Mus musculus: one gene and its partners. The protein of the gene in region 1 interacts with the protein of each later gene in a pairwise test. Links are inferred from orthologs where the notes say so. Each region holds a gene or a part of one and is shown in the gene's direction. Other genes may lie near its edges. The genes, in order: Ldlrad1, Bnip3l, Adgrg7, Marchf2, Mall, Pln and Vti1b.

What was found.
Region 2: the proteins of Ldlrad1 (region 1) and Bnip3l interact in binary tests that used the Homo sapiens proteins (3 or more experiments, as listed by UniProt). The two-hybrid records come from large-scale screens. The link is inferred for Mus musculus from reciprocal best matches to the Homo sapiens genes LDLRAD1 and BNIP3L.
Region 3: the proteins of Ldlrad1 (region 1) and Adgrg7 interact in binary tests that used the Homo sapiens proteins (3 or more experiments, as listed by UniProt). The two-hybrid records come from large-scale screens. The link is inferred for Mus musculus from reciprocal best matches to the Homo sapiens genes LDLRAD1 and ADGRG7.
Region 4: the proteins of Ldlrad1 (region 1) and Marchf2 interact in binary tests that used the Homo sapiens proteins (3 or more experiments, as listed by UniProt). The two-hybrid records come from large-scale screens. The link is inferred for Mus musculus from reciprocal best matches to the Homo sapiens genes LDLRAD1 and MARCHF2.
Region 5: the proteins of Ldlrad1 (region 1) and Mall interact in binary tests that used the Homo sapiens proteins (3 or more experiments, as listed by UniProt). The two-hybrid records come from large-scale screens. The link is inferred for Mus musculus from reciprocal best matches to the Homo sapiens genes LDLRAD1 and MALL.
Region 6: the proteins of Ldlrad1 (region 1) and Pln interact in binary tests that used the Homo sapiens proteins (3 or more experiments, as listed by UniProt). The link is inferred for Mus musculus from reciprocal best matches to the Homo sapiens genes LDLRAD1 and PLN.
Region 7: the proteins of Ldlrad1 (region 1) and Vti1b interact in binary tests that used the Homo sapiens proteins (3 or more experiments, as listed by UniProt). The two-hybrid records come from large-scale screens. The link is inferred for Mus musculus from reciprocal best matches to the Homo sapiens genes LDLRAD1 and VTI1B.

The regions. Positions count from the first base shown.
Region 1 is NC_000070.6:107,215,644-107,219,143, forward strand, and holds part of Ldlrad1 (low-density lipoprotein receptor class A domain-containing protein 1), read left to right. Parts: exon of another isoform or gene 1-499; intron 500-505; coding exon 506-634; intron 635-2,122; coding exon 2,123-2,271; 3' UTR 2,272-3,500.
Region 2 is NC_000080.6:67,006,078-67,010,088, reverse strand, and holds the start of Bnip3l (BCL2/adenovirus E1B 19 kDa protein-interacting protein 3-like), read left to right. Parts: upstream 1-1,211; 5' UTR 1,212-1,304; coding exon 1,305-1,401; intron 1,402-1,900; exon of another isoform or gene 1,901-2,252; intron 2,253-4,011.
Region 3 is NC_000082.6:56,740,359-56,743,858, reverse strand, and holds part of Adgrg7 (adhesion G-protein coupled receptor G7 precursor), read left to right. Parts: intron 1-1,256; coding exon 1,257-1,600; intron 1,601-3,500. UniProt on the Homo sapiens protein: Orphan receptor.
Region 4 is NC_000083.6:33,708,678-33,712,177, reverse strand, and holds part of Marchf2 (E3 ubiquitin-protein ligase MARCHF2), read left to right. Parts: intron 1-2,205; 5' UTR 2,206-2,257; coding exon 2,258-2,433; intron 2,434-3,500. UniProt on the Homo sapiens protein: E3 ubiquitin-protein ligase that may mediate ubiquitination of TFRC and CD86, and promote their subsequent endocytosis and sorting to lysosomes via multivesicular bodies.
Region 5 is NC_000068.7:127,727,098-127,731,277, reverse strand, and holds the start of Mall (MAL-like protein), read left to right. Parts: upstream 1-1,380; 5' UTR 1,381-1,411; coding exon 1,412-1,522; intron 1,523-4,180.
Region 6 is NC_000076.6:53,336,336-53,340,485, forward strand, and holds the start of Pln (cardiac phospholamban), read left to right. Parts: upstream 1-1,350; 5' UTR 1,351-1,460; intron 1,461-4,150. UniProt on the Homo sapiens protein: Reversibly inhibits the activity of ATP2A2/SERCA2 in cardiac sarcoplasmic reticulum by decreasing the apparent affinity of the ATPase for Ca(2+).
Region 7 is NC_000078.6:79,155,517-79,158,987, reverse strand, and holds the end of Vti1b (vesicle transport through interaction with t-SNAREs homolog 1B), read left to right. Parts: intron 1-1,078; coding exon 1,079-1,140; intron 1,141-2,416; coding exon 2,417-2,513; 3' UTR 2,514-2,956; downstream 2,957-3,471. Other genes in the region: Arg2 (arginase-2, mitochondrial precursor), read right to left, coding at 2,957-3,162. UniProt on the Homo sapiens protein: V-SNARE that mediates vesicle transport pathways through interactions with t-SNAREs on the target membrane. These interactions are proposed to mediate aspects of the specificity of vesicle trafficking and to promote fusion of the lipid bilayers.

The DNA.
Region 1 (3,500 bases):
CGCCACTGGGTCCACACTCCAGCTCCTATCCCATGCGCTACTCCAGCATGACAAGTGACTGTCCAGCCTCTGCTTAAGTGTTTCCAGGATGGGGAGCCCACTACCTGAGGCTGGCCTGGGTTTGTGTGAATTTGGGTCACCCTGTCCACAACTTCCTGGGGCCCATGTGTAAGAAATCCAGTTCTACCTGCTATGTCCTGATGAGCTGAGGCTTCCTGGAGATTGAAGGTGGAAGGTTAGCAGAGGTGACAAGGGGGACTGCTGCAGTGAGTATGTACACAATGCTGAGGGTGGGGACATACAAGGGGTGCTCTCAGGGACCCCTTGTCACCCCACAAAGGTTGCACAGAGTAAGAACACTCCACTCTTTGGAACTGATCTCCTTCCTGGAAGACCTCCAGAATGAATGGGGAGATCCTGCAGTAGGACAGGGTGATCCAGCTGCAGGCAACTGAGGTACTGTGGTCAGAGGTGAGTTTGTCTTGCCCCATTTGTCCCTGTATAGGAGATGTGCCCCAGAGCCTCCCCAGCTTCCTCCTGACCACCTGTGGAGACCCAGACTCCTGGATCTACTCAGACCAGAAATGTGATGGCGTCAACAACTGTGGAGACTGCTCAGATGAGCTGAGCCCAGGTGGGGGTCTGGCCACAGGCGGGCAGCAGCCAAGGGCATGGTCCCCTGCATGCTGTCCCTGCATCCTGGGAAGAAAATTTCCCCTCCTACTTGAACATGTCTGGCTAGAGGTGCTTGCTGTGAGAGGCTCTTCTGTGGAGGATGCTATCTTCAGGGCATTGACTGGACACTAGGACCCAGGGGGTGACTGAGCAAAGAGAGTGCCCAGCCTTTCTGGATCTGAGCCTTCTGTCCTAGGCATCTCCTAATAGCCTTAAGAGGAGCGCAGGGCAGGACTTGCTGGCCCAGTTCATATGTGGACAATCCCAAGCACCAAGAAGGGAGCAGATAGCTACGGGAAGGGAGTATAGAGTGAAGGACCTCCTTAGACATCCTTACATTCTTTCCCCAGCACTGGGGAGATGCTCGGTCAGTGTTGCTGCATCGCATCAGGACCTAACTCAATGCCCATGGTAGAAAGGGAGAACCAGCCACAGGTTCCTAACTTCCCCATGCCGCGAGTGTACCATGTCAGGTGCACACTCCCACACACAATAAATAAATAAATATAATACAGAAATGAAAGGTAAGGAGCTAAAGATGCAGCTCAGGTGGTAGAGCAGCTCCCTAGTGTGCCCTGGGTGGATCCTCGGCACGGCATAAATGAGCTACACATTTCTATAACCCCAATACTCCGAGAGTAGAGGCAGGAAGGTCAAAAGTTCAAGGTCATCATTGGCCTCATAGATGAAGGGCAGCCTGAGACTCTATCTCAAAAGACAAAAGGTGAAGGACAATCAAGGAAGACACTGTAGACCTTAAGCCTCCACACAAGTGCACATATATGTGTCCATGCACTCATATGTGTACATGCCTGTGTGGGCACACATGCACACACATTCTATGCCCGGTGTTAAGTCAACAGAGATGTTCTGAGCACTGCTGAGGTGGCCTGTGCCAGATTCTGCAAGGGAGAGTCAGGAGTCAGACCCATCCCCAGGACCACACCATGCTGGTGCCAAGAGGAAGTACTGGGACCTTGAAGAATCTACCAGATACCTCAGAAAAGGCATCACAGAGCATGCCATAGAGAACAGGGGCCAACAGTCAGGACTGGTGTGTAGAGAGGAATGGGGAGCCACGGATATAGGACAGGGGACAGAGGAGTAAGGCACCCCCAGAGTATCCAAAGGATTGCTCATGGTGGGAGTGAGAGTGGGGCAGGAAGCTGGGCTGGGTGGTGCAGCATCTCCACATCCATTAATTCCCGAACACTGTCAGGCTTCTTCTACTGAACCACTGAGGCTTAGCCGGGCGAGCAGGTCACACAGCCTGTGTACGACCTGTGAGGCTGCAATTCTCTCTGCTGCAGGGAAAGCCCACACAGTCACCCACACTAGATGGCCTAAGGCTGCAGGAACTAGGCGTGTTGCAGATCTAGAGAGCACCCTCTTATCTGGAGAACCCAGGGTCAACAGCTGCTTCTTGCACTGTCTCTTGTCTCCCCAGTGACTACGTGCCCGCCCTGTGGCCCTGGGTGGTGGCGCTGCTCGCCAACTGTGTTCAAGTACTGCAGCTGTGTCCCGAGGGATCTGTGCCGGGACAGCGTGCAGCACTGCTCTGACTGGTCAGATGAGTACTCCTGTCCTGGACCCTGAGTGAGCCTCCCTCCATAGCATGGAAGCTGACACCCAGATCCTTTCACCAGAGCACCAAACCCTGGACCGCAAGGGTGGGAAGAAACTTTTGCCATCTCCCAGTGGTACCGGCCCCTGTTGTCTCTGAACAGGAATTGTCTTTCCTCTTTTCAAGTGTCTCAGCCTCCACTTGAGCACGTCAATGACAGGGAGCTCACCACCATGTTAGGCACTCTAATAAGACGAGGTGTCTGACTCCATCACTTTAGGCCTGTCTATGGCATCACATAGAGGAGACATGCTCTTTGACTCCAGAGCAGGCCTGAATTTCCGATCTTGTCATCCCTTGAAGAGACAGATAAATGTGTGGCTTAAATGCCAAGTGAGTTTAGCCCCATGGGGTAGAAAACAAGGCACACACATTTCCCGTCATTCCCCACCTAAGGCAGAAACTGCTGAGTTCAAGGCCGTTGTAACTTGTTGCTCAACTCCCCAGCAGCCTCGACTGATCACATGAGGTTGCATATGGCACTTGGGACCTAGTATCTTTCTAGTTTCCCAGTCTCTTGGAGGCTTGCGGCTATAGAATAGAAGACCCAGAGAAAGCACAGCTTAGAAGAACCCCTCAATGCTTTTAGCCTGAGCCTCAGCCCTGCTTCACCCCACAGTCACCTGCAGGTTTATATTTTGGTCCTGAAGCCAGAACGCCATTCCCCTGCGTCCCTTGTATCCCTTCTATCTTCCTAACACCCAGGCAGGCAAGGATAGGGGTTCTCATTAGACAGATGGGGAAACCGAGGCCCAGGGGATGACTCGCCCAGGGTGGACCCTGTGAGGTTTGAAAATGGCATCCAAGGAGCAGCCAGGCCCTGGCCATTCATTTGTTCTTTCACCACTTGTGTATTTCTTCACCCATTTCTGAGCTGAACTGAGCTGAGCTGAGCTGGGAGCTGAGGGGTGGAGCTTGGGGGAATGGGCCCCTAGAGAAGAGGCCTGGGTCCTGGCACATGAGCAGTAGGGGGTCTTATAGAGAGCCCACCTCACGCCATGTAAGGATGAGTGAGACAGTAGAACTGTGGGGTCCCCTTAAGGGGATGGTCAGTCTCAGCAATCCCTCTTCAGTTGGGTTTCTTTGTAGAAGGTGGGGGCTCTTTTCAGGAGGAGGGCATTCATGCTTGGCCCATATGAGACATGTAACAGTTCTGATTAAGCCATGGGTTATTCAGTAGGTGGGAGGGGCCAAAGCATGG
Region 2 (4,011 bases), on another chromosome or scaffold:
TGTGAACGAGCTGTCATGTGGGTGTTTTGAACCAAACCTGAGTCCTTTGCAAGAGCAGCCAGTGTGCTTAACCCCCCAAGCTATCCCTCCAGATCATGTTTTTGGATGTCAATTCAAAGTGACAAAGACTTATTGTGTGTGCCTGTATTTATGATTTAGAGGGGGAGGGCATATGCCACGGTGCATTGGTGGAGGTCAGAAGGCAACTTTGTTAGCTTTCTTCCCATCTACCGGGAGCTCCGGGCAATGAACTCAGTCTGCAGGTTTACTCAGCAAGCGCCTTTACCGGCAGAACCATCTCACTGGCTGGTCCTAGATTTAGTATTTCCGTGTTTGGGTATCTCAGACCATATTTTTAAAAAAGACAATTACATGAAAATTCAACAACTGCAATTAAAGCAAAGTTAAAAGGCAAGTACAATATTGAGAAAAACATTATACAAAAATCGGGTCAAGGAAACTTGACAAAGATACGACGTAGGAGTATTTAGGAACATTAACAGAGTCAGCAACCAGCGTACAGGAGGTAGGGCATTTACAGAGATAGATAACAACCAGGGTTTGGGTAAATCTGTATTTTCTTTTCCCTTTTAATTTGTTTTTGAAGGCAATGGGTCGCTCGATAGCGTAGGCTGCAGGGAACTCGAAATCCTCCTGCCTCAGTCTTAGAAAGAGCTGAAATAACAAGTGTGCGCCACGCCCAGCCATTGATTTTTTTTTTAAACCGTGATTACATGTTACCTTTGCAATTAAAATGTTATAAATTCCAACAAGGTGATTAGCTCCAAGGTACCTCCCACGGTATTCTGTGGGAGGCACAAATGGATGTTTCACTAAGGGGAGGAACTGGGGTTTTCTGCTTCTTTAAAGCCACGGGTGAGTTCTTAAGTGGATACTGCAGGCGTGGGAGGGGTTCCATTCAGGCCCCGCGCGCTTCCGGGCTGCACACTCCTCCCTAATCTCAATCCAATGCCAACTTCCTAGCTCAGCCCTTCCGGCTATTGCGACTGACTCGCAGGAATTCTTTCCTGGCGCCCGTATCAGCTCGACTTCCGCACCCGCACGTCCCGAGCAGCTCGCGAATGCCCCGCCCAGCCCGGCCTGGTCACGCCCCCTATCCTGGGCTCCGACCCCGCCGTCCAGCTGCCTGTGTTGTCATCACATGGTCCGGGAGGGCCCTGACGTCACGAAGGGAGGGACTGCGCAGACGCAGAAAAGGGGGCGGGGGAACTCGACTTGTTGTGTTGCTGCTCGAGAGCCGGATACTGTCGTCCTGCGGCCGTGCCGCTTCCAGTCTCCAGACCATGTCTCACTTAGTCGAGCCGCCGCCGCCCTTGCACAACAACAACAACAACTGCGAGGAAGGGGAGCAGCCCCTGCCGCCGCCCGCTGGCCTCAACAGTGAGCACGGGGCCGCCGGGCTCAGCGGAGGGATGGGGGAGGAGGAGCCGCTCGGCCGCCGCCGTGCGGGCGGGGGGGGGGGGTTGGTGGTGGTGGTGGGGGAGTGGGCGGGAGCAGACGACAGCTCATTGGTTGGGACCGAGATTGTGCGTATGACTGACAGCGGCGCGCTCCGGTTAGGAGCAGGCGCTCGGCGCTGGCTCGCGGCCTGCGCCTTGGGCGCCGAGGTTTAGGGTCGCGGTGGGCGTCGGGAGCCGGAGGCGCACGCAACTCGGGGTGGCAAGCGGAGGCTGGCCAGCGGAGGGGGAGCATGGGACGTGCGGCGGGGACACCGGGGGATGGACGCGACCGGTCGGGCGTGGCGGGTGGACGTGCGGCCGCGCAGGTGTGCTTGCGGAGCTCGCCTCCTACCACACGCCGGTCCAGGGGGTCATCGGAGTTTCGTGCAGGGTGCTTGCTCCGCCCCTGACATTTATCTTTTTTTTTTTTTTTAGTCTGAAAATTCCCAAGTTTCTCAAGTGAGTTTTTTGTTGCTGTTAACCTTGAATTCATATTTTACTGCTTTTTCTTTTCTTTTTCTTTCTTTTTTTTTTTTTTTGAGAGAGCTTCTCATGTAGCCCAGGCTGGCCTCACTCGTTGTGTTGCTGAGTGACCTGATCCCTCCTACTTTCCACTTTCCCAAGTTCTTGGGTGACAGGCGGCAGCCACCATACTAGTAACTTTTCAAGTGCTGTTTCTTATGTTAAATGGATTGGGTGCCCAGCACATGCCCTAGGATCACGTCCATTTCAGCCAAATCTGCAGTGAACTTCAGGAAATACAGTAAACAACACAACAGACGCAGGCCACAGGTACTAGCAATTGAAAGTTGATGGTCAGGATCCAGTTGCAGTCAAACAGACATCTTGTCCCCAGAGTGTCCGCTGTTGTTGTGAGATCGCCGGACCTTCTTGCCCAACCTTTCTGTTTGGATTTCATGTCTTAATGAAAGAGGTAGTGGGTGGTGGTAGTTGTCACAGGGCCAGATGAAGTTCTTTAAAAGCCATTTGTATGCTTAAAGGTCAGGCAGTGTCTTTCATAAGAGGGATGGCTTCCAGGGTGGCCAGAACGGTTTAGGGAAGAGCTGTTACTGAGTCTAGAGGATAGTGGCAGGAGCGTTTGGGTATTTTAGCCAGGTGTGGTGCCACTTGCCTGTCATTCAAGCACTAGGGAAGTGTAGTAAGCGTGGTCCCCAGAATAAAACTTTGTGTCAGAAAACAACAAAACCAAAAAATAAGGAACAAAGAATTCAGGAATTTTAAGACTCTGTCCCTGCCCCATATTTTGATAAGCAATATTTGATAACTTCTCTAAAATGCCGGCTTTTACAAAGATCTAGTCAAGTGTGTCCTTAAATTTTACTCATAATCACATAATTCAGAATTTAAAATTTTTACCCATCTTTAGCATACATTTTTGGAAATGAAAAGACTAAAGAAATACATGCTTCATGTTATTTCCAGAAGCTGTGGCTCTTTTTTGAGGCCCATGGGTGCTTTCGGGAGCCTTCCCTTGTTTTTGGCATGCTTATATATGAGTATCTTCCGCCTGGGCCTTTATGAGTTAGTTGTGCTCAGCGTCTTCTTACTGCTTAGATGTCTGGAAAATTCAAAGGGATTTTCATTTTTCTTGGATTCTTTATTAACAACAGAACTGAAAAGGGTTGAGCTATGTTTGTTTATTCCTAAGTCTCACAGACCTGGGAGGTGTTTGTCATGGACCAGCCAGCTTCTTCCTTAGTTTTCTCAATGGCTCTTGGAGACCCTCCAGCCTATAGATGATACCAGATGTTACTTTGGGAAATCTGCTAGATAAAAAGTATTGTACTTGGGCTAATTAAGCTGTACTTTTAAAAGTTACTGAAAGCTCGATGGTGCCAGGTTTAATTATTGTCCTTGCCTCTTACTTTGCTTGCTTTGTTGTTGTTGTTGTTGTTTTGTTTTGTTTTGTTTTTTTTTTCGAGACAAGGTTTCTCTGTGTAGCCCTGGCGGTCCTGGAACTCACTCTGTAGACCAAGCTGACCTCAGCACTTGGGAGGCAGAGGCAGAGGCAGAGAGATCTGCCTGCCTCTGCCTCCCAAGTGCTAGGATTAAAGGGGTGTGCCACCACTGCCTGGCCTTTGTTTGCTTTTTAAAGTTTAGTACACAACCCTGGATTGAACAAAACAAACTTTATTGATTCTTCCAAGTGATTTTTTTTTTTTTTTTTTTTGGATGAGCAAAACAACTTACTCAGACATCTAAAACCATCCTAATTGCTGATAACTCTAAGCACTTTGCTGGCCGCAGTTCCACAACTGTGGAAAACAGCAGCTGAAACACATACAGATTATCTCTGGCTTGGGATTTTTATCTTTAGTTCAAGGATCATGGCAGAGGGTTTGTCTGTCCGTTTTAATGTGTATGGGTGTGCCTGCATATATGTATGTGCACCATGTGCATACCTGGTGCCTATGAGGCCAGAAGAGGACATCAAATCTCCTGGAACAGAAGTACAGATGGTTGTGCGCCTCCAAGTCATGCTGGGAATCCAACCCAGGTCCTCTGGAAGAGCAGATACTGCTCTTAATTG
Region 3 (3,500 bases), on another chromosome or scaffold:
ACCATTTGGAAAAAGAATTCTAAGCTGACTTACAGAAAAGAAATATGATTATGTTCTAACATCAAAAAGGCAGTAACCATCTGCCTACTAAGAAAAATAGCATCAGTAGTAATGTAAAACACTTTGCCTAATTTACAGGTTTGTGGAGTATTTACTCTTTGAAACATAAGCAAAATAAACTTTTAAAAAACGTATCATTGTTCTATTATGAACTTTTAAAATTATATTTGGCATTAACTTAAAATTTACAAATGATGTTTAAAAATAAATATTGGCTACAAACAGAGATTTCTCTACATTCAAACATGGGTTCACCTATTAATGCAAAATTTTCTGTTTTCAGGTAGAAATGCCATGTAGACATTCTTCTGTACATAGCCTTTGTATATGTTTGCACATGCTCGAGCTCAATGGCGTAAAGTATTATCTCTCATGAGTTAGGGGCTTTATGGGGCTGGTCTGGTCTTGCTGAGCTATTTCAGGAGATGGAGTTGGGAAAATAGCTGGGATGAGCCCTCTGGGGCGTCCCTCTAGGACAGTGCTTCTCAACCTTCCTAATACCACAGCCCTTTATACAGTTCCTCATGGTGTTGATGTTGTTGATTTGCTGATGATATTGGTGGTGGTGCTGTTGATATTGTTGATGATGTTCTGTAATAGCCTGGGTTCAAATAGTATGCAAAAGCAAAGAGTGTTTTATTCTGCAGAAGTCCAGCATGCTAGCGTCTCCCATTACAAAGATAGAGATGCCCCCACTGAGCTCACAGACCTGATTTAAAGCACACTAGGGAAGGGGTAGGTGACCTCTATCTTAATTATTGGCTCTAACTCTAGGGACATTCCAGGACCATTAGTGGGGAGTGGGGGACTGGAAACTATTGCTGGGGAAGTCTGGAAACTGCTGCTGACCCATTGTCCTTCTTGTAGGCCAGGTGGCAGGGCAGCTTCTGATGGCAGGGCAGTTTCTGACTGGCTGCCTGAAACCTGAGGTTTTGTTTTTGTTTTGTATGGTTTTGTTTGTTTGTTTGTTTTGGGTTTTTCAGTACCTGACTTGCCTGGGCTTGACTGGACTTGCCCAGTTCTTGGGAATAGAGATTTAGGCCTGGTCTCCTGAACTGCCAACTTGAAGAAGCCTGTCATGGAGTCAGCCTAGCCTGTCTCAGTTGATGATGCTTTGCAGTTTCTGTGATTTTACTTGGTTATTCATATTTAATTATTTTATTTTATTTTATTTTATTTTTACTTTTAATTTTTAGGAAAATCAGAAAAACCTCAGTAACCTGGGTGTTGGTCAGTTTGTGTTCATCAATGTTGATTTTTAACCTCCTCTTTGTGTTTGGAATTGAAAACTCCAATAAGAACCTAAAGACAAGTGATAGTGACATCAATGTTAAACCTGAAAATAACAAAATACCAGAAAGTGACACCATTGAAACCCCGAATCCCTCATGCACAGCCATTGCTGCCTTGCTCCACTACTTTCTGCTGGTGACATTCACCTGGAATGGACTCAGTGCTACACAACTCTACTTCCTTCTGATAAGAACCATGAAGCCTCTCCCTCGGCATTTCATTATCTTCATCTCATTAGTTGGATGGGGTAAGTGTTTGCACCAACACTTAATTAGAAATTTCAACAAACACCCATTGGAGGTCTAACCATTCAGGGTAGGGGAAAAAATAGAGCAATCACTAAGAACTCTTTCTGTCTAGTAGCTGACTCTCCAGTGAGGGATCAACACGGGTATACTGGACATATTATAAGCTAAATCAAAGGGTTTAATTTTTAAAACATCCCTTTATTAGTTTATGCTAGATTTGGAACATATGCAATTAATCTCCTAGCTACTTTTTTATTAATTATTTATTTATATCCCTCCCATCCCCAAATGTTGCCCTCCCTCACAGTGCCTCCTCACAGACTCTTGCCCACATCCTTCTGAGGAGATGTCTCTCATAGCCTCTGAGAGGGTGCCACCAGGTATCCCTCTACTCTGGGACATCAAGTCTCTATAGGATTAGGTGCATCCTCTCCCACTGAGGCCAGACAGGACAGCAATCTCACTAAAATCAGGAACAAGACAAGGCTGCCCATTCTCTCCCTATCTATTCAATATAGTACTTAAATTCTAGCTAGAGCAATAAGACAACAGAAGGAGATCAAGGGTATACAAATTGGAAAGGAAGAAAGTCAAGGTATCAGCATTCACAGATGATATGACATTCACAGATGATATGACATTCACAGATGATATGATAGTATATATAAGCGACCCCAAAAATTCTACCGGAGAACTCCTACAGCTGATAAACAATTTCAGCAAAGTGGCCAGATATAAAATTAACTCAAAGAAATCAGTAGCCCTCCTTTATACAAATGATAAATGGGCTGAGAAAGAAATTAAGGAAATGACACCCTTCATAATAGTCACAAATAATATAAAATATATTGGTGTAATTCTAACCATGCATGTGAAAGATCTGTATGAAAAGAATCTTCAAGTCCCTGAAGAAAGAAATCAGATAAGACCTCAGAAGATGGAAAGATCTCCCATGCTGATGAATTGGTAGGATTAACATAGTGAAAATGTTCATCTTACCAAAAGCAATCTCCATCAAAATTCCAACACAATTCTTCACAGACATGGAAAGAACAATTTTCAACTTCATATGGAAAAAATATCAATTCTGAACAATAAAATAACTTCTAGAGGTATCACCATCCCTGACCTCCAAGCTGCACTACAGAACAATAGTGATAAAAACTGCATTGTAGCCAGGTGTGGTGGTGCACGCCTTTAATCCCAGCACTTGGGAGGCAGAGGCAGGTGGATTCCTGAGTTCGAGGCCAGCCTGGTCTACAGAGTGAGTTCCAGGACAGCTAGGGCTACACAGAGAAACCCTGTCTCAAAACAAACAAACAACAAAACCATAAAAACAAAAAGTTGCATTGTGTTAGTATAGAGTCAAACAGGTTGATCAGTATAATAGAATTGAAGACCCAGAAATAAACCCACCCACCTATGGACACTTGATTTTTGACAAAGAAGCCAAAATCATACAGTGGAAAAAAAGAAAGCATTTTCACCAAATGGTGCTGGTCTGACTGGAAGTCAGCATGTAGAAGAATGCAAATAGATCCATATTTATCACCCTGCACAAAGCTCAAGTCCAAGTGGATCAAGGACTTCAACATAAAACCAAATACACTGAATCTAATAGAAGAGAATATGGGAAATAGCCTTGAACACATTGGCACAGAAGAAAATCTCCTAGCTACTTTAACAGTATTTAAAGGAAAGTAATCAGAGTGATTTGTTATGAAAAAAATTCTTGAACATTATGTTGTGTCCCAGAAAAGACAAAGGGAAGAATTGTTTCAGTCCTAATCAAATTTAAATTGTTCAAGTAAAAATAAATTGGAACATTTGGTGATGAACATTGTTACTGGAAAATTAAGACATGAGAAATCAGATAGGATTGGTATTTACAGAACACTA
Region 4 (3,500 bases), on another chromosome or scaffold:
TGGATTCTTGGTAGGTACTCTACCTCTGACTCATGCTTGAGCCTCTCTAGATGCATTCTGCTTTCACTAACGATAGCTTAATATGTTTTGAGCTCAGTTTCAAGGATCCGGTTTTCGCTAGAATAGGGTGATTCTGGCTGTGTAAAAAACTGAGCAAAGGGCATGGCACACAGGTGTGCAGTCACTTTCAATCAATGTTCCTCTATGTGAAAATGTGATTTGGAGACTGGTTTTGTAGGAATTTGAAGTGGGGCCATGCCTGCCTTTTTCTAGAAGAATGAGAGAAAATCCAACACAAGCCCAGCTGTCTTCTACGCCTGCCTAAGTTGTATACATCAACTTGTAGAGTTCTCACCTACCTACATTTTACAAATGCAAAGATTCAAAGAGTCAAGTCTTTGCCCATAGTCTTTGAGTTCTGTTTTAGTGTTATTTCTGTTGCCCTGATAAAATACCAGGGCAAAAGCAACTTAAAGGATGTCTTACAGTTTTACTGCTGTGAACAGATACCATGACCAAGGCAAGTCATATAAAGAACAATGCTTAATTGGGGCTGGCTGACAGGTTCAGAGGTTCAGTCCATTATTATCAAGGTGGGAGCATGGCAGCATCCAGGCAGGCATGGTGCAAGATGAGCTGAGAGCCCTGCATCTTCATCTGAAGGCTGCTAGGAGAATACTGACTTACAGGCAGCTAGGATGAGGGTATTAAAGCCCACACCCACAGTGACACACCTACTCCAACAAGTCCACACCTAATCCAACAGGGCCACACCTACTCCAACAGGGCCACACCTTCTAATAATGCTATTCCCGGGGCTGAGCATATATAAACCATCACAGAGGAGAGGAAAGGATTTATTTTAGCTCACAGTTCCAGGCTATCACTTCAGAGAAGTCACAGTGGCAAGAGCTAGAGAGCATTCATCATATCATATCTATAATCAGGAACAGAGAACAATGTATGTAGGCTAGTGCCCAGCTCACTCTGCCCTTTTTGTTCAGTCCAGTGTGTAGCCTACCTACATCCAGGGTGGGTCTTCCCACCTCAAGTAACCAATTAAGAAAATCCCTAGATAGGAGAGACTCCAGATGTTTCAGAGAGCAGAATCCCACCAAAGCTACCCAAGGCAGACGAGAATGGCTACCTAAGGTGTTCATTATCTCCTGTAGCCTCTCCTTGGGAACCGGGGACAGAGCAACTGATCTTCAACCTTGATTTGAGATCAACCCCTAGGACCCATATTGTGGAAGAAGAGAACTGAGTTCTGCAAGCTATCTTCAGACTCTCACATGCATGCTCTGGAACATATACATCTACACACATATACATATTACACACAAAACAAACATAATTTAAAAAGAAAAAAAATTGTCTCCTATGGGCACGTGGTTATATCCCAACCTAGTCTAGACATTCCTCATTGAGAGCCCCTTCCCAGGTGAGTCTTGAGTGTGTCAGTTTGACAGGTAAATAATCTTCACAATCTCTGACAAGACAGGACTCAAGAGCCAGGCGTGATCTGTAATCTAGCATTCAGAAGGCTGAGATATTCAGTTCCAGGCTAGTCTACACTACAGAACGAGCTCAGAGGCTATGGCGATGGCTTGGAGGTTAAGAGCACTGGTTGCTCTTCCTTAGGACCTGGATTCAATTCCCAGCAACCACATGGTGGCTAGCAACCATGGGTACTCCAGTTTCAGGAGGTCTCTGCAGGCACCAGGCAGTAGTCTACAGACAGATGTGCAGGCAAAATACCTATACAGATAAACATTAAGTAAAACAGTGAGATCAGAAGAGGGACTCAGGCTGGGGACCCCACCCTACAGGAAGGTGTGGACTTTAGTCTACATCCCCTGAACCCATGCAAAGTAAGGCACAATAAGCCTTCCGTGCAGTCCTAGTCCTCATACTGTGAAGTGGGAGGAGGGGACAGGAGAATCTCTGGAAGCTGGGTGTGAGCTGGTCTGGTGTACCTAGCACAAAGAAGAGACTCTGTCTCAGGCAAGGTGGAAGACAAGGGTATTCTCCTGCCTCTGATCTCTACTAATGTACCTTTGCACATGTTCACTTGCACTCTCACACACATATTTGCAAGCACAGGAACATAAACACATACATACCTTAAAAAAAAAAAAGAGGAAACAAAACTGCTGTTGTGACTCACTAATTTTGCCTTTGATCTCTCTGCCCCCTCCCGCCCAGGTTTCTGGGACCATGGGCCTCAGGCCCTGAGGACAGGAGGCTCCCTGTGGCCATGACGACAGGTGACTGTTGCCACCTCCCTGGCTCCCTATGTGACTGTTCGAGCAGCCCTGCCTTTTCCAAGGTTGTAGAGGCCACAGGGCTTGGGCCACCTCAATATGTAGCACAAGTGACTTCACGGGATGGCCGGCTGCTCTCAACTGTCATCCGGGCTTTGGATTCACAGAGGTGAGTAGTGACCATTAGTAGCCAGGCTTTTGTCCCCATTTCTCTCTGGGTTGAATGATATTCTACTAGTCTAGGGTCAGGAGGTCCAATCACTTGAGAGAGTCAGAGAGGTTAATATGCTAGAGAAAAAAAGCCAAATACTGATGTTGGAGGAATGGCTCATTGGTAAAAGGACCTGCTGCTCTTTTAGGAGTTCAGTTCCCAATACCAACATTGAACAGTTCATAACTGTCTGTAACTCCATTTCTAGGGGATCTAACACCCTCTTCTGACCTCTTTGGGTACTCCTTTATTTGGGTACAAAGACAAAAAAATAGTGTGTGTGTATATATATACATATATATATATACATATATATATATGTATGCATGTATATATATGCATGTATACAACACATATATATAGTAATTAGTATGTATATATTAGCACACACACACACACACAGACACATGTACATCCAAGTAACTGGGGTGTTTGTTTATCAGTGGAGCTAGGGAGATGGTTCAGTTCATAAAATGCTTGCTGTGCAAGCTTGAAGACCTGAGGTCCATGCCTACAATCTATGTAAGAAACTGAGCATTGTAGCCTGGGTTTGTAATCCCAGTACTAGGGAGCCAGAGACAAGCAGATCTCTGGAGCTCTCTGGTGAGCCAAGCTACCTTAATTAGTGAGTCCTAGGCCAATTAGAGACTTAAAAAAAAAACCATGGTGGACATCCCCTGAGGAATATCACCTGATGTTGACCTCTGGCTTTTACATACACAGACCTACTCCAACAAGGCCACATTACCTAAAAGTGTCACTCCTTGTGGGCCTGTGGGGACCAATGAGTGTATGGGACTTGCTTATAGAGCCTGGGTATGTGGTTACTTACAGGAACATGGGTATTCAGCATCTTAGTTAGGGTCTTACTGCTGTGAAAAGACACCATGACCAAGGCAACTCTTATAAAGGACAGCATTTAATTGGGGTTGGCTCACAGGTTCAAAGGTTCAAAGGTTCGTCCATTATCATCAAGGTAGGAGCATAGCAATGTCTAGGCAGACATGGGGCTGGAGGAGCTGAGC
Region 5 (4,180 bases), on another chromosome or scaffold:
AGTACAGTGTGCATAGTTAACGTCACAGTCTACTCAGAATTGATACTTTCCAGGCCAGTGAGATGGCTTATCAGGTAAAGGCACCGTCCCTCAAGCCTGGTGGCTGGGCTCAATCCCTGGAACCTGTGTGTACCTCTTACCCTGCCCCATCTTCCCTGACGCCCCATGTAGATTATGGTCACATCCAAGGGGGCCACAGCCCCAAAGAGAGACATAGCACTTGTGTGTGACATTCAGAAAAGGTGGGTGGCTTTGGATCCATTCTGTCAGCAGTGTGGGGGCCTGAGCTTGTGAACTATACGCTCTAGGACTTGGAAAAGGTTGAGGACAGGCTGTCTGGAAGCTTGCTGGGAAGATCTTTGCCTTTCCCTGCAATGCCTTGGCTTCAAGCTTCATGTATCCAGACTCTGCTGGCTGCTCCAGACCAGGCAGAGCGAACCAGCTACTCCTCCCACCTTGCCCAGGACAGGCCCTGGAATTCCCTGCTGTTGCTAAGGAACAAGACACAGGGCTCTTGTGCAGGACATCCCCCAGTCCTTGGGACAACTCTTCCATGCCTCCTCTCCTACTCCTGAGGAGGCTTTTCAACTGGCCTGCTGGAGCCGAAGAGGGGAGGAAGAAGGCTCTGGGGCGCCAGGCCTTCCCTCAGGGCGGTGGGAAAACAAACCAAGGTTAGTGGGTTGTTAAAGAAGAAGGTGGCCCAGTCTCCAGCCCTGCCTGGCGTTGTGTGAAAGGAAGAGCTTTGGGTCTGGAAGCACAGCCAAGCAGCCAGCCCCAGGCTCTAAGCAGGAAGGAACTGCCTGGTCCCAACCCTGTGTCCTAGCTGGACTAGAACGACAGTGAGAGGAGGACCCAAGAGGGACTCAGAGTACCTGAGGAGGGAGGTGAAAACCAGGCTGCTCCAATCCTTCATTTAGACTCTGAGGACAAAAGCAGATGCTGCTTTTGTGACCACTCTGTGACCTTAACTGGAAAGGTACAACAAAGCCACGTGGTGGTGGTCTATCTGAACTTCAGAAGTGTCTGAAGGTGGCTAACCACACAGTAGGTCCTCAGTAAACAATCTTTATCTTAGCAAAAGAGCCCTTGCTTACACTCTGAGCATAGAGATCACCAGGAGCATACATACAAAGCTGTTCCTTTCATCTCTTCTGGAGTCCTTTGCTCCAGCATTCAAAGTTCCTTAGCAGGGAAAGTCTAGAAAGACCCTCTGCGAGGCTGGTCCTGTCCCCTCTCCTGGCTAGCACAGTGCACAGAAGGGCCCCCGCTCTACTGGAACCTTTCTTTTCCCCTCCCAGGCGACGTCCCTCCGACCGATGGGTGTGTCTGTCTGTCGGGCGGGAGGTGATTCTTGAACAGCTGCGGGCGCAGGCGAGTGCTACGGAGTAAAGACGCCAGCAGAGGTGACAGCATGGCCTCCCGGGACACACCGCCGGCCACCAGCTACGCCCCGCCTGACGTGCCCTCGGGGGTCGCCGCCTTGTTCCTCACCATCCCCTTTGCCTTCTTCCTACCGGAGCTGGTGAGTTGACTGCCCCCACCTGCGGGGAGGGAGGGGCAGACCCGGCAGGGAACCTCGCTGGCAGTTAACTTCAGGCTCCCTCTTTCCCTGTGGGTTTCCCAGGCTGGGTTCCTCTAGAGCAAGTTTTCCTCTTTCCCAAAGGATGAGGAGCTAATCCCCAGGCCACTTTCTTGCTGGAGGGGTCCAGCCACCTTCTAGACTATCCAGACCTCTAAGAAACTTCTACTGCCTGGTTTCTTTCCCCCTAGCTGTTTGTACTTTACTAAAGTTCAAAGAACTAGGGGTCTCTCTAAAGGGCCTTCTGAAAGAAGGTCTCCCAGTATTTTCTCAAATCACATCAGCTGACTTTGAACTTTGATTTACGTGTGTTCCCTGCCGAAGGGAGCTCATGACAGCATCGTCCATAAAACAATCTGAACCGCCCAGGTGACTCTGGGAAACTTGTTGCTGCCCGACTCTGGGACACGGCAGAGCAGAACTAGGCGCTGAACCCTGCCAGCACTCGGCAATGCATTCAGTATTTCCTCAGCTGGCTCCTGCTACTATCCACCTCCCCTACTCCCTGCCACGCCTCCTGTAATATCTAGTTTGTGGGTGAAATTTTCTTCCTAGCCCTGAATTTGACCATGCTGCCTCTGGGCGGGGAGGAAGACTTGGAGTAGGACAGGTTACATAAAATGGGTGTGGCCAACGCTTTCCCTTCTGGTCTTCATGGAAGGTTAGGTCCCATTGAGTGACCTTTAGGCAAATTGCTTAAACAACAGCCATTCTTGGGAAGCGTCCTTGTGGGTCCCACAGGTGGGTGGCCTTGATAGAGACTCCACCTAAGAGGCAGGTTTCTTCTAGCACCAGTCCCCCACAAACGTGGGCATCCAGCCAAGCTGATCAGATCCTGAGCTGTGTGCCAGGCCCTGGGTGTGGGCCTCACTTTGGAACAGTCGCATGGGTGACAGGATGGCTCTGCCACATTCTATTGAGCTTGCCAGTCACGCAAATCATCATCAGAGGAGTGGCTACCTCCCAGGGGTCTCTGTGGCTGGAGAGAGGTTTGGGGGCATTTTTTAGAATGCAGCACACTGTCCTGGCCAGAGGAGGGAGGGGTCTAGGCCTGTCACTCCCTGGAAGAAGGCTGGATTCCTGAGGCAGGAGAGCAGCCAGGTAGAGAGTTGTCACTAGAGGTGCTGACAGTTGTCCCCTGCAGTTGGATTCCTGGAAAAGTACTTTCATGGTGTCCTGGGACTTTGAGGGGATGAGGTCATTGTCATTGATTTGATTTTCTTGACTTATTTTTAAATAGTTTTAGATTTCTCCTAAAGCCATAGCGGCAGCATAGGAAGTCTGCTCCTCACTCGGAACCCCACAGGGCTCTCCAAACCAGGAAGTTAAAGTTAGCACTCTGCCATTGACCATTGTTGTTCTATTTGCTCATTTCCCCACTAATATCCTTTCCCTAGCCCAGGAGCCAGGTCAAAACTCCTGATTGTGTTGGCTGTCCTTTCCCCTTCAGTCAGGGGCGGTTCCTCTGCCTCCATCTTGGTATTTTGGAGAAAGCACTGGCCGGCCGGCTGTGACAGACCCTTGTTGCAGTTAGCCCTGTCTGTGTTTGCTCGCTGTAACTCTAGTTTTCATTTGGAAGTCATCTTCATTCATTGATGAAAACTTAGAAAATGCAGAATTGTGTTCACAGACGGAGCACATGCATCATCTGTGTGTGTGTGTGTGTGTGTGTGTGTGTGTGTGTGTGTGTGCATATGCAAGTGAGGGGGGGTCTGTGTGCATGGGTGAGTCTGTGTGTGAACATGTGTGTGAGTGTGTGTGTGAGTGTGTGTGTATGTATGAATGTATCTGAGTGTGTGTGTGTGTGTGTAAAATATCTGTATCTGAGTGTGTGTGTTGAGTGCATTATTCTGCACATGCTTCTTGTACCTGCTATGAGCATGCATAGAAGAACTCCAGGATAATGTGTGTGCCTGTATGGAGCATGGGAAAGGAAGGGAAAAGATCAGATTTTGATGTCATGGGCAGAAGAAGCTGGGAAGCTGTTCTGGGTGCTGAATCAGTTTGTCCCAGGCCCTTCTTTGGCTCTGCTGCTCTGATGTCTTCTCCCTCCACTGTCCACTGGGGCAGTGTAAAAGCACCATGCCTCCAGGGACCCCTGACCCTTAGCCCTCTGGTCTGAGACAAAAGTCTGTATAGAAGGCATTAGAAAGCAGGGAGACCAGGACACTTGTGCAGAGCACAGAAAGCAGAGCCCAAGTACTAGGATGCAGTGATTCTTCAGTAGGGTGACATAGACACATGGTGTCTACAGTGACCTCTCCTAACCACCATGTGTATGTGAGTGTGTGTGTGTGTGTGTGTGTGTGTGTGTGTGTGTGTACGCGCGTGTGTATGCATGTGTGGAGCACCACATGGAAACCAAGAGTGAGCAGATCCATTGTCAGATCACATCAGACAAGCTCTCCCTTGCTAGCCATGAGCCACCTTGGAGGTGGCTCTAGCTTTTGGTGGTTCTTGGAGATGACAGCAAAGGTGGTTCAGGCTCCCAGTAGCCTACTCCAGTGACCTTTGTTGCCCACAGTGCTTTCCCTCCCAATCTTCAGCATTAAAATTCACATTTAAAATGTTTTATTTTGTGATAGTGATGGTTCTAACAGG
Region 6 (4,150 bases), on another chromosome or scaffold:
ACTTTACTTTTACGTGGTAAATATGTCCTTAAATAATATTTATAGACTTTCTTTGATAAAATATTTTCCAGTTAGTTTTAGCTAACATTTTAAGCAACAGGAGATTTGCTCTAGAGAAGTGTTTCATCTTGCTTTGCAAGAAGGCAAGATCATATCCATTTAAGGACTTCAGTGAGCAGCTGCAGGCACACAGTTTTCATACTCACAGGAAAGAGGGAGGCTGATTTTACTCTACTATACACTAAGAATTACGCATAGGTTCTCTAAAGCTAAACAGTGAAACTGAAAAATCAGGGTCCACACATGTGCTGATTTACATACATGTAATATAAAAACAGTGAAGCACGGTAGGAGACAGCAGGACGTGCTCGGCTCTGCAGCATGGCTCAGTTCTACTCAAAGTCAGTCCAGACCTACTGTGGTGGCATTCTAAAATTTTTCTCACATTTCAGACAAAAAAAAATGCTACATTAGGTGAAAAACTTTCAGAAATAAATACTGGACACTTATTTCATCTCTTGGAGACCTGGTCAGCACCGCCACACTGCCATACAGCTGACAGAAACCTGCAGCTCATCTTTTCTAGAAAAGCTACTCCTGACACTAGGTCAGCTTACTAAAAACCTATTTGGTTTCTGTGGTAATACAATGTAGCTATAGAAAACTCTTAAGGCCTTAAACGTATAAAGTGCATCTTTCTGGGGAATAATACATAGCTATTGAAATACAGATTCATTTCTCAGAGCACGGGTGAAAACCTTAACTGAAGAAAATGTAAGTTGAATGTATTTGCTCCTCTAACTATAAATTTCTTTTTCAAAACACAAAGTATTGACCTAGTTTTCTTTTATGCATTCATTCTCTTACCTAGACAGCAATACCTAGACAGATGTGAAACACAAACATAAATAAGACAAGGAAAGGCATCAAATATCACCTGAGAATGTTTGCTGCTCTGACAAGCAAGGCTCTGCGAGGGCAGCTCCATTAACCCTGCCTCTGTTGAGCCTACATTATCCCTCCCAAGCTACCTGCATTCCTTCACAACTATGTTAGCTCTTCCACTCCAACAGCAGTGTGTAACTATCTCCAAGTCTGACGACTTATAACTCTTTAAGGAAAGCTACCTACTATAAAGCAGTATCTTCAAACTTACTTTATTCTCAGTTATCTGTTATACACATTTTTAAGTTAAAAACTAAAAGCAAAGCACAAAGTGTTAATGGCATTTCCAAACCTAACATAAAATAAGTTCTAAGGTTTGGTTGTGATAAGAACATGGCTAACCAATCACATGTTAGAATTCCTACGTGATGTCATAAGACCTCCCTAGAATCCTTTTTCTCCTCCACCTACTGCAGCTGCTCCCATAAACCTGGGAACAGAAAACTGCCCAGCTAAGCTCCCATAAGACTTCATACAGCTTCATGCTCTGCACTGTGACGATCACCGAAGCCAAGGTAAGACGTGAGATCATTGACTTTGGACATTCTTACTTTCTGATATTCAATCTTATTAAACTCTTAAAAGAATTCTAACTCCCAAATTCCAATTCAAAGCTACATAATAAAAGAACCTGCTATGACAAAATGCTTAATTTCTAAATAAATTCTTACCCATTTACTGACAGTGAAAATTAGACAACTTTAAAAGAGATTCTATTCATCTTTAAATTTTGATTACTAGGTTTTTTTGGGTTTTCACATATGAACTCCCAATTTAACCCCCCATTATATTAGCATATATGGTAGGAGAGGTATATTAATTTTCATACAAAAGCAATGGTTTCATGTGCTATGTGTTGCTTGTTAAAACACAGTGCAGGACGAGGCCACTTATTTACAGCTGGGGCACAGCTTATTTTCAGCTTATTTATAACTGAAGGGTATGCACACTGTGAGTACACTTATTTGACGACATTACTGTAGTTCTTAAGGTGATACAATAAAAGAGATTTTTAAGAACAGATAGTAGGAACTACTTTTCAAATGCTCTTGAAGACTGTTACTCTCTAAAATTCCAGTCAACCTTTAAACACTTCTAGAACTTTTATTTTAATGAAAATAGCTTGTTTTAGTTTGAAGCTATAAAGAACAAGTTAGATAGTTTTAAAACAAGCACATGTCTTTATTAAGTGACAGAAAATAATTCAACATTTTTAAAAGTAAAAAGGACATTTTAGCATACAAACATTTCTCAAGAAATTTAATAAGTGTATATTCCTCTAACAACAGAGTACATTTATCAAGTTTTTATTCTCCAGTGTTCTTAAGTTTCCTGCTGTGAATTTAGAAGTAAAACAAAATATTCAGGAAATTGATATGCAACAAAAACTTTATTATTGCTATTTGTTAAAATCTCAATCTACTAAGTAAAATATTTTCTCACTATTAAATCCAATAGATCACATAGAAAATAAACAGATTTTTATTTTACTATTTATATTCCTATCATATTTAAATGCTAAATAAAACTTACCTCTACAATTCTCAATTCCTATAATTCTAACTCTGCTGCTTATGACAAACACAGCTGTCTCCTACACAACATTCTTGTCATGTAAAAACATTTTTAGTATGTGCTTTAACTCCAAGGAACACTGGTCTCTCAATAATTTTGTAACCCTAAAAATATTTTTTCTTTGATATTATACAAATTACACTTGGTGCCAAGTTTATTTGTCATATTTCTGCTATTTTTATTTATCTATCCACTGTGTTGCTGGGGGACTAGGGAAGAGAGTGAGAGAGAGAGAGAGAGAGAGAGAAAGAGAGAGAGAGAGAGAGAGAGTGTCATTGCATGTCTGTGAAGGTCAGAAGAGTTTGTAGGAGTCAGTTCTTTCTTCCCACCATGTAGGTCTCAGGAGTCAAGCTTGGGTCGTCAGGCTTGGCAGCAAGTGCCTTACCTACTGAGCCCTTTCCCCGGTCCCTGAAGGTTTACCTTAATGCCTATCCAATAGCATTCTCAAACTTGAACAGTGTGTGCAAAAGTTTTTTTCAGTGGAGTAAGGGGTAGGTAATGAGTTTCTTTCCACCAGAATTTCCTTATATCACAATTAGTTACAAAAAAAAGGAAGCAACTTCTAGAAAAAAATATAAATTCTGCTATAGAAAGCATCTTTAGCAGATTAAGCAGATGCTGCCTGTAGTTAAAATTTTCAATATAAAGCACAGTTTCTACATAGCTTTATGGTGACATTGAAGTATTTTGTTTATAAAGGTACATGCTTTAAAAGTAAGCACAAAAAAGGATAAAATCAATGAAGAAATGTAACAGATACACTAAAAAAGAATGAGATGATTTGCTTTGCCAAAAGGAGTTGCCGCAGTGTCATTTCCTAAAGCAAATCAAAATTGTTTTTAGAATATTTTAGTAGACATAGAGGAAAATTGCTGCATTTGGGTCATTATTAACAAATATTGTTTCTTAATCTCACCAATTTATCAAGACATAATATTTGCATTGGCTATAGAATTCAAAGTATATATTAAAACATCAAGTGAGGATGATTAAAGTATAGATCACTGCTATAAATTACACAGCATAAGCACATTTTTTCTGAAGAACATTTTCCTAAGTGCACTTACACACAGACACTCCCTCTTAATTCTTTGTATGCATCTCTACATCATCATTTGGAGAACAGATTTTAAAACAAGTGAGCTCTGTGAAGTTCACAGAGCTACAAGCAAATAGGAGACCTTGTGGGAGAGGCCATTTGCACCTCTGATCCCGTTCAGTGATGAGCATGGTTAAGATACATCATCATCCTGACAAGGTACAGAAAAAGAAAAGCAAATGCAAAATGCTGTGAATGGTCATTTTCTGAGAAAATGAGGATGCAAACTACTGCTAACTAAAAAGCATTCCTCTGTTTCATTTAAATCCATCAAGTGTTGGATCTGTACTATTCTGTATGATATTCTAAACATTATCTTCAAAGTCAGGCATAAAGTTACTGATGTCCTTAGTTTTTAAGCAGTAAATTCTAGTCAGCAAAGTTCAAAATAATCACATAGACATGAACATACCAGAATCAAATTAAAATATACAATCATTAAGTTTGCTCTATTGATAAAAAATATACCTCCAATCCATTTAAGCTTGTTATCTAAAAATCAGACTGATTTTTCCATAACTCTGAACAAAG
Region 7 (3,471 bases), on another chromosome or scaffold:
CTGGTGCCTAAGGAAGCCAGAGACATCAGATTTCCTGGGACTGGAGTTATGCTTGTAAACTGCCATACCCATCCCGGCAATAAACTCAGGTCCTCTGGACAAGCAGCAAGTGCCTTTTTTTCTTTTTCTTTTATTTTTTTCTTTTGGTTTCCTGAGACAGGGTTTCTCTGTGTATCCCTGGCTGTCCTGGAACTCACTTTGTAGACCAGGCTGGCCTCAAACTCAGAAATCTGCCTGCCTCTGCCTCCCAAGTGCTGGGATTAAAGGCATGCAACACCACTGCCCAGCACAGCAGCAAGTGGTTTTATGTGTTGGGTCACCTCTCCAGCTCTGTTTTCCTATTCATGACAGCTCACAACCATGTCTCCAGTTCCAGGGGATTCGATGCCCTCTTTTGACTTCTGAGGACACCACATATCCATGCGGTGCACATACATACATTCAAGCAAACACTCATACACATAAAAGTAAACCCTTAAAAACACAAGCAAATACCAACTCAGGAGGCTCTCCAAGTATTTAAGTGATAAGATTCAAATCATAGGTTGCCCTGCAGTCACTGGCCCAGCATAGGTAAAACCTTATAGCCTATATGGCAGTCAGAAAGGCTTGGTTTTAAAACTGTGGCACTATTCTCCTCCCCGCCTCCCTTTTTTTTTTTTTTTTTTTTGTTCTTTTCCTGAGGCTGGGTCTCATGTAGCTCTGGCTGTCCTGGAACTCTCTGTAGACCAGGCTGGCTTCAACTTGCCAAGCCTGTTTCTGGGATTAAAAGTGTGCGCCACCATGCTACCATGCCTGTCGCTTTCCTATCTGAATAGCCAAGGTGAAGGATTAGTGACCTCACAGCCGCCCATGCCTATAGGAACAATGAGATATAGTGCTTCCCTCCTTAATGAGCACCCAAACACCTTGACTTTTCTAGGTTCCTTTACTTATACTTAATAGCTTAGATATAAGCTATTAAATTCATTTGATTCTTTGTGTCTTAACAAAGACCTTTTTAATGCCCATGTTCAAGTTCTATAGATTTTTTTTTTTTGGAAAGGATTAGGAGATGACCTATTATTTTCTCTTCCAGCTGGTAAATACAAATGAAAATTTGAGCAAAAGCCGGAAGATTCTTCGCTCAATGTCCAGAAAGTAAGTTTCAAAAACCCCCACAAATTCTTGACATTTAATGTATTTCAACTAAGAAAGCTTAAACCAGTGACTTAACAAATGTCCTGGTAAATCACCTTGGTGCTCCCCAAGCCCTGCTCCCTGCCCCGAAGTCACTCAACAGCAAAGGACAACATAGTCTGTATGTTACATATCTCAGGAGATTGGTAAATTCATAGATTGTTCCAACATAAATAGTGGGAAACCTGTCTGCTGAACAATGTCAGTCCCAGTTTCTCTCTCTTAGAGGGGACCTAAGGAACCAATAGAGCTTTTCTGCTCCCGGGAACATGTTTATGAACACCCGGTGTGGGAGCACGGATAGTACTTAGTTCTTGCCTTTTATGGCAGGCCTTTTTTGGGAGTCCTGTCTTGTTAGCAAGAAGTATTTTAAAAGAACAAAAACAAGCTAGCGGGAGGTAAAAGCGGTTGTGGCATGAGCCTGACGATTGATAGGAGAGCGCCATCCCCAAAGCTGTCCTCTGACTGCCACAAGTGAACTGTGTAGGATGCACATACCTGTGTTCACTAATTTTAAAAAAACTAAACAAAAAAACCAACCTTGAGGTAACTCCTAACTGTAGTTAAAAAAAAAAAAAGGCCGAAGGGAGATGGTGCCATTTGGGCTAAGCTGGGTACCTAGTGTGGCGTGTCCTTGGTGCATGTGAGCTAACAAGAGCTTCAGAAATCCATTCATAGAACAAGCAGTGGGAGAAGATTTCCCCCAAACACTAATAATTCCTTAAAGTAAGGAGAAACGAGATGATAACCTGAAGTAAACTTTTTGGCGAGTGACTGTTGAGGTAGTAGAGCAGAGGGAGAAATAGGGAAGAGTAAGAAGGGAGAAGTTTACAAGACACTGAAAAGCAGATCTCAAGGCCACTAGTTCCTCATCCTACAAGCAGGACCCGGCCGTGAGCTTAATCGACTTTGACACTAAAGAGTGCACCCGTAGCGTATGTATGGCTGGTAGGACCATATTTAAAACAGCAGGACAAGTAGAGGAATTTTTAGAGTCAAGAAGTCATTACGTTTTAGTGTTATATTCCTGTTTCCCACATTTTTGTGATGTAGTCAGTGTTGTCCCTCACTTAAGCCAAGAGCACCATGAATTGTCACTGTCCAAAGGACAGTGCTTTCTGCTGTGTGGCTGTGTAGCCAAACTCAAACTCCATCTACCTCACTGTGTCTAGCATTAGAAACAGCTAGAAATAAGATTGCCCAGACTCATGTCTACTTACTCTGCTTGTCTTTGTAGAGTGATAACCAACAAGTTGCTGCTCTCCGTCATCATCTTGCTGGAGCTAGCCATCCTGGTCGGTCTGGTGTATTACAAATTCTTTCGACACCATTGAACTTCTGTAGGGAAAGCCTTGTGGACCAGCATCTTACTCTGAATGAATGGTTTTACATAGGAATATGTGTTGCTGCTGTGGGCTAACAGTTCAAGAATGTATTGTCTTGTCAGACTATGGGAGGGAGGGCAATGGAAAACCTCGAAAATGTGAAGGAACAGCAACAAGACCAGTATGATATACTAAGGTAATAAATGTTGTTTATGACTCCTTCAAACTTACATGTATAACATTAATAGCTTGTAAACTTCAAAAACAACAAAAAATACATTTACAGTAATAGTGTTGGTGACCAAAATAGAGAAGGGAGTTTTACAGTTGTGAGAGTGCACAGATGTTCTCATTAAGGCAATATTGATCCAGACAGCCATTTCATATCTGTCCCTTCGAATGCCTTGCAACTCTGTAATGCTGTTGTGAAAGGTGCCAGAGTACAGTATTTCCTAAATTCTCACACATTCTTCATTTTCTGATTCGTGTGGTGAACTAGGAGTAGGAAGGTGGTCATAGACAATGTGTCCTCCTTCTCTTGTCTGACCAAAACTTGAAGCAATCACATCCACTGCTAGTCTGGCTGTTGCCTTGGCCTCTTCCTCAGAAGTGGCCAAATGAGGATTGACTTCAACAAGATCCAGAGCTGACAGCAACCCTGGAACAATAAAAGGTAAAAGACGTTAGAACATGCCCTGGCTGCCACTTTCAGTGAGGGTTGTTCCACCTCATAAAAACAAGTCATTTTCCAATATAAAATGACCACAATCAGAAAGCCCTCTGCAGTCTGGAAAGGTGGCTCTGTAGGTGAAGTGCCTCAGCCAAGCCTGATTAGCCGAGTTTGAACCTTGGGCCCCATGTGAGATTGAGAGAGCCAGGCCAGCAAGTTGTCCACTGATTTCCACATGTACTCCCCACTCCACAAACAGGGACACAAAAGTAACTTCAACAACAAAACACCCAGGCA